Coturnix japonica: one gene and its partner. The protein of the gene in region 2 purifies or fractionates together with the protein of the main gene of each other region. This does not show direct contact. Links are inferred from orthologs where the notes say so. Each region holds a gene or a part of one and is shown on either strand. Other genes may lie near its edges. The genes, in order: NUDCD3 and KLHL15.

Region 1 (3,545 bases), on a different chromosome or scaffold from region 2:
ACGGGCGGCGGCCCTCGAGTGGGGCTGGGACACCGCAGAGCCCCCACAGAACCCCAGTGTCCCTATGGTTCCCATGGTGCCCCATGCAGCGCTGCCCTCGTGGACCAGCTGCGCCCCACAAGTGACGGAGCATCGCCCCCATAGGCGGCATCGCCCCCACCCGTGTCCCCGAAGCGGCTCGCAGAGCCCCGCGCGGGGCACAAGGTTTTATTGCCGTGCCGACCCGGGGCTGGGACACGCGTGGAGCCCGTGGGGCAGAGCAGGGCGTGAGCCACCACTGAGGGAGCAGCCGGGGGGGGGGATGAGCAAAAGAAGCAAAAACCAGAAATATCCTCAACCACCAAAAATAATAATTATGTCACCAACGAGCTCCGTCTATTCCTGAAAACAACGGAGCCGTCGCCAGCGCGAGGAGAGGAGAGGAGAGAGAAGGGCCCGGTGCTGGATGCCGGTGTGGGTGGATGGGATGGGATGGGATGGGATGCGGATGGGATGGATATGGGAGGTGGATGGGATGGGATGGGATGGGATGGGATGGGATGGTGATGGTGAACAGGGATGGGGATGGTGATGGTGAACAGGGATGGGATGGATGGTGATGGATGAACAGGGATGGGATGGGATGGGATGCCACCCCCGTGCTGTGCTGATGCCGGCTGTGGGCACAGGGCATCCCACACCGGGTCTGGGGTCTCCCCTCCCCACGTCGCCGCTTGTCCCGCTTACACCGGGGTCAAAACTGCACGGCGCCGGGCGAGATGTTGAACATGGACGGGTCGAACTTCTGGCCGCGGAACGGGGAGCCCTCGGTGTCCCAGCCCTTCTTCAGCATCTCGTGCACCTTCTGCAAAGAACAGGGGGGTTTGTCACCGTGGGGCTGCCCCACACCCACCACCCCTGCCCCAGGGGGACATTGAGGACCCCCAGGGGGACAGGGCCTGGCTCCCGGCTGGGGGCACCCACCAGCTCGTGGCTCTGCGGTTTGCCCTGCAGCTTCTGGTGGTAGTCGAAGGTGAGGCGGTCCAGCACGGCGTGCTCCTCCTCGTCCACCGTGGCCATGGAGCGCTCCTTGTTGATCTTGTCGATGTCAATCTGCTCCTCGCCCTCCAGGACGGCGTTCCACCAGTACTCGTCCCCCTTGTTCAGGTTGATCTGGGGACAATGGATGGCTCAGGGAGTGGGGGATGTGTCACCCCAAACCCATCCAGCACCCTGAGCCCATGTCCCACCATGGGACACATCACCCTGAGCCCATGTCCCACCATGGGACACATCACCCTGAGCCCATGTCCCACCATGGGGATACAACACCCTGAGCCCATGTCCCACTATAGGGATACATCACCCTGAGCCCATGTCCCACCATGGGATTCATCACCCTGAGCCCATGTCCCACCATGGGACACATCACCCTGAGCCCATGTCCCACCATGGGATACAACACCCTGAGCCCATGTCCCACCATGGGGACACGTCACCAGGTCAGGGGACACAGTTGTAGCCATGGCCTGTGCAGACATCAGAGCATCACAGCCATCCTCCATCCCTGGTGGGGCAGCCCAAGGGAGGGGGGACGTCCCGTTGTCCCCAGCCCAACCACAGAACGGGGGCAGCCATGAAGGTTTGGGAGCCGATATTGGTGCAGGGGGTGGCTGTGCTCAGTCCTCCTGGGAGAGCAGTGCTGGCACAACAGCGCAGCGAGCTGAGGGCGGTGGGTTCCAGCACAGCAGCGAAGCACCTTCTGTCAGGCCAAACCCTGGGTGCTCACCCAGCACTGAGCACTAGGAGCACACAGCCATGGGGTCCACAGCCCCATAGCGGGCACACAGCCATGGGGTGCGTGGCCCCATAGCGGGCACACAGCCATGGGGTCCACAGCCCCATAGCGGGCACACAGCCATGGGGTGCGTGGCCCCATAGCGGGCACACAGCCATGGGGTGCGCGGCCCCATAGCGGGCACACAGCCCACACGGCAGGGCTGGCAGTGGGTGTGAAGCCCCCCGCAGAGCTGCAGCCCACGGCCCCTCTCCTCCTCCCAGCCCGGCTTTATTTACCACGTCCCGCTCCCACCCTGCTGGGAAGGCAGAATTATTCATTTCCTCGGCAGCGTTTCTGTGCATCACCGCCGCTCTGAGAGCTTTGCAAACAGTCCCAATGAACCTCTGCGGCCCACCTTGCGCGTGGGGGGGGTTTGCTCTGCCCCCGGATTCCAGGGGGACAGGACCGAAAGTGGGACCCCCCCCTGAGTCTGCAGCCCCACTTCCTAACAACCTCCAAGTGCCGGCAGGGTCACAAAGCTGCTGAGCTGTGGGTTTGGGGTTTGGGGTTTGGTTGGTGGTGCGGGGTCGGTTCCTTGCATGAGCGCTGCTCCAGCCGTGCTGTGCCCTGGGAGGTGGCCATGGAAGGTGGCTGCACACTGGAACCCTGCGGAGCTCTGCCAAGGGAACAGGGCTTCACCACAAGGACGGATAAATCTTGACCTGATTACGTTGCTCTTGTGCTCTGCCCCAGCTCGGAGCTGCAGGGAGGATCGGGTTCCAGGTGCCTCATGCTCAGGTTGCACATCTCTGCTTTGGGACCGGCAGATGCTGGAGCTGTATGAAGCCACGGGCTGGGGCAGGATGGGCTGCAGGGAGACCTGTGTGCTGCAGCACCGAGCGTCACCGTGTCACCTCCCATGTCCCCATATCCTGCGAGGAGGGGCCCAGTCCTTCGCTGCGTGTGCTGCGCTTTGCCATAGTGATGGGTTCCCTCCTGGATCCCGAGTGCTGCGTCAGATCTGGAGGGATGGGATGCTGCCAAAGGGTGGAAGCAGGACTTGGAAAAGCCACCTCCTGCCACCTGCTTCCCTTCCGACATGGCAGCAGCGGCCCTGGGAGCCAGCGGGGGACAGGAGCTGCTGAGGGGCACCAGGGCAAACTTCCAACGGCACATGGAGGTCGGGGAGTGCCACAGATTGTTATTAACTCCCCGCTCAGGAGATGACAGGCAAAGGATGTAAGAGCTGCTCGAGACAGAACTGGGTGACCAAAGCCTGAGCGTGGATCACAAACGTTGGAGAGGAGAGAAAGAGGGAATGGGGGAAAAGCTCCTCAACAACAAAAATAATCCCCAACGTGTTGTGCACAACACCCAGCAGAGCCTTCTAAATACGGCTCCTGCGAAGCTATTTTCATCTCCCTTTTGACAAGTGAGCAGGCGTGACAGCGAGGGGAGAGCACGGGGATTACGGCCGGGCTGCGGCGCCGGGCAGAGCAGGCAGCTCCACAGCCACAGCCCACGGGGTTCTGCCTCATCTGGGTGCCAAAGAGCCATGAAAGCACCCAAGGACATGAAATGTGCCGAGGGCTCGGCCAGATCTGGGAGTGAGGGGAATGGACAGGCACCGTCCAGACAGCGAGCACAGCGCTGGCACACTGAGCATGGCTTCATTGTGCCCCCATCTCACTGGAGGCTGCTGCCCCCGGCAGCTCACACGTCCTGCACGAAGATGCTCAGGACAAGCCCAGTGCTCACAGTTCCCTCCCAGCAGCTGAAGCACCAA
Region 2 (3,820 bases):
AAGTGCAGAGCCCATTTAAGAGAAGTAGGAACCCCTAACCTTAACCACTAGGCACTTCTTGTTCTAAACTTCAGCACATGAAGTTGTAGAAAATATTCGACATGATTCACTAGACATGGAGGTGAGAAAAACACCGAAAAACAAGTGCTGAATATCTCTAAAGACAAAATCACAGTGACATAAAATTATGGCATCTTTCAAAAATGATGATCTGCTGAGCACATACTCAAAGATGGACTTATTAATATGCATTTCATCCTACCTCTGAAGTACAGGTTGATACTTCCAGTGGTTAATACATCTCTGATTTAAACTGGGAATTTATAAATCAGCATGAACTAGTTGTAACAAATCCTACACAAAAAGTATTAGAAAAAACTCCCAGTTTTAAGGACAAAGGGTTTTGAAACAACACTGTCATCTGAGTTATACACAGAAGCTAAATGAAGATTAATGAAAATATGAAAGAAAGGAACAACATGGTCATGGTACAGTAACAGAGAGAGAAACTCAACTTTCCTCAAGACTTACAGAGCTGTAGATAGGTTTCGAATAAGACCAATGTAACATGTGCGGTGAAACGTGCTTCCTAGCCATAAAACTCTCTTTTTCAATCATTTCCCCAAATCCTTCCATTTTCCTCACACATCTATGTTAAGGGCCAAGCAACAACAGAAGTACCTATTCCTACCTAAGAGGCAGTTCTTCCAGGGCAGTTCAGAGTAAGCACACAGGCTACACCTTCCCTTGTGCATCCCAGGTTCGTGTCAGTCTTGAAGTATTAACCCAGTCACTCATCACTTCCCTTTGAAAAAGACAAGCCATCCCTCTTAGATTGTAAATCTCTCTTAAAAATGCTGTAAGAAACAGAATGGCTTAAAATGCAAGAAGTGTCCTTTCTGTGACATGTAAAATTAAGTTATGTAAGTTATTTATGTCCCAGTATAATGACAGGCATCTTAGAAATGCCTATTAGAAAGGTTACATAAGAATACATATGACAAGTCACTGAGTGTAATTCAGTTTGCTCAACTGTAAGTCAGCCTTAGACTGTACTTGGTATATTCACACAGGATTTGTTTCTGTGCTTCAGCAAAGGATGAATTCTTATCTGTTCTCTGATCTCCAAAAAAGCACTGTGACTAGTATTTTCCCCTTTCTACATAAACGGATGTGTTTCCTTCAAGTTACTGACAGAACAGTTAACAAACATGCTCTTTCATTAAATAAAGGAAAATTTAAAAGCACGGTCATGTTTTTACATTAGCTTCAACTGCAGATGTCCTTTGTCACTGGTCATCCTGGGTTACTCAGCGCTCTTCAACCTAGCTGCAGTGCCAAATGACATGCATGTTTAATTCTACTCCCCTCTGCTCAGTGTAGAACAGTCCCACAGTAGAAACTGGACTGGTTTCACTCCATTGTCTCATGCAATTAATGGATAGGACATTCACAGGAAAAAGTTTTTACGGGTGACCATGTAGCCTGGGATGCTGAAAAAGACATCTCTCCTTATGTCATAGCTGCTTGTAGCTGCCAAGAGAAACTGCAAGAAGCTCTGTGTGCAGAATAGACATCAGTGATACCAAAACCAACTTCAGAAGTTACACCTAAATAGAACCCTAAAAAAGCACAACACCCATTCTATCACTTGCGCTTGCAGAAATTTCACTGAAAACAGTTTGATACTTGAACTTCTATTCCAAAAATTCAAAGAACTGAAATAGACTCTTTCACATGAATTTAACCTATTAGATTGACTATAAGAATATCTGATGACATCGGTTTTCCTAATGAAGACCTTAAATTATGCAATGAAGTCAAAGTTTTATTACAAGCAAGACACTACACAGCATCTTGCAGATTCCAGCTCCTACTAGGAATCCTAGGAATCATTTCTAACACGATATAAACATCACGTTAGTGTTCTAAAACAATTCTAGGTAATTAGATTTATTTTATGTCCACAGGCTAATAAAGGGTTGTCAATGGAAATTAAGTCTACTCAATCCACACGCACACAAAAAGTTAAAAAAAAAAAAAAGAAAAAAAGAATGTAATAACTCAGTCTCAAATAATTAATAGCTTTTATAATTATAATACAGTCTTATCTGTGTATAGATACCAAAAATGTATGAAAATAATGGTAAGTAGCCCAACAAAATACACAGGGCATTAAATCCTACTACTTCACCAAGAGGTGGAAAATACAGAATTTAAAAGTTCACCTGAACACACAAGATTAATAACAACGACATAACATAACAGCACAAGCTGAACAACTCCTAACTTGAATACAGTTAGTATTACAGTTAGTAGCCTGTGCAAGTGGCTTACAAGCTTTGTAGTTCTCTACCCATGTCAGATGTTCCCAAGTTTCTCACAAACCAGAGAGCAACATTTTTTGTCTATTCTTCAACAGAACAGTAGAAAAAGCAAGTTCTCATTTAACCTCTTAACACATACAATCATGAGTTGAATTTTTTATCACCTCTTACAAAGACTCCTCTGTTATTTAAAGTAAGTCATTACATTCCACACTGTCAAACACTTCTGATCGTATTATATGCCTTGAGTAAAATCAAATGGACGTCTAACTTTTCAGGATCAGGGCTAATTTCTAACTGCTTTGTAATAGCACAAGTACTGAAGATACAATAAAAACAAAAACACTGCAGGTTTAACAGCAGATGTCAACTTTCATTTGTAAAGAAGAAAAACGTACTTAAAAGACACAAGATCTACAGTCAGCATGTTTTGATTATATCAGTAACATCTGTCATGATATATGCTCTACAAAATCTCTGGGAAGCAAGAAACAACTTGCAGAAAACAAAGAATGACTGAAATAAAACCTGATACGTGACCTTGTTTTAAGATGTCCTTTCCATACGAAGTTACTTAAACACATGTGTTACAACCTACCTGTTGTAACCTCCATCCACTGTACATACTATTGCCTAACAATCAGATGGCATTACTTCTAGACGCTTGTTTTCTACGGGTCTACTGCTCCTCCTAACAGGACTGGGAATCTTATCTGTTTAACAACATGCTGCCCTAGCTAAATGATGAATTCTGCCTACTGCTTTTCAAATGCACCAACCTTCTCAAAAACACTGGATGGTGTCATCAAACAAAACCTGATGTTCTGAATGATGGTGTCCGTATGCCTCCAGCGTCTTCTATCATGGCGCAGCCAGGCCTGAACAGCTTCATACAGCTCTATCTCTGGAAACCTGCTCAGATGATCATTATCCAAGTAAGACATGAGCTTTTCAAAGCTCAGATATGAAAGGAAGTCAGGTCTGGACATGAGCGGCACAAAATTCTCTAGCAGGAAAGAGTCCAATTTTTCCCTGACTCCTTCGATGTTTACACCAAAATCATCCAGAAGTCTCATAATTTCAGCACAGTTTTCTAGGCAGATTTTAGCTAAGAGAAAAGAGCAGCAAAATTTTACCACCTCTATAAGCTGGACATACATGGCAGCCTGAAGGATTTCATGAACAGTGTTCATACTCAGTTCAATAGTTCCGTAATACATGAATTGGAGGACATGGCTGAAGCCTGTAGCTGTCAGACCTTTCAAATGGATTTTGTCCTGATCTCGTTCTCGCATGTCAGCTGTGAACATAATCCTGAAGTAATCGCTCTGGGTGGCAAGCAGTGCTTTATGAGCCTGAAATTGGTGGTCTTCAATGACAAGTGTGACATCAAGGAGCAATCCCTCCTCATACAGTGCTCTGAATCCAGCAGAGACACTGGTGTCATGGATGGAGGAGCTAAACCCTTCCACGTCCCCTGCCATGAATCACCT

Evidence for each region.
Region 1: the proteins of KLHL15 (region 2) and NUDCD3 purify together in Homo sapiens (co-immunoprecipitation; 3 studies listed by BioGRID and IntAct, with this or other methods). This does not show direct contact. The link is inferred for Coturnix japonica from reciprocal best matches to the Homo sapiens genes KLHL15 and NUDCD3.

The regions. Positions count from the first base shown.
Region 1 is NC_029537.1:91,118-94,662, forward strand, and holds the end of NUDCD3 (nudC domain-containing protein 3), read right to left. Parts: intron 1,153-3,545; coding exon 964-1,152; intron 845-963; coding exon 734-844; 3' UTR 610-733; downstream 1-609.
Region 2 is NC_029516.1:107,470,549-107,474,368, forward strand, and holds part of KLHL15 (kelch-like protein 15), read right to left. Parts: intron 3,819-3,820; 5' UTR 3,812-3,818; coding exon 3,107-3,811; intron 1-3,106. UniProt on the Homo sapiens protein: Substrate-specific adapter for CUL3 E3 ubiquitin-protein ligase complex.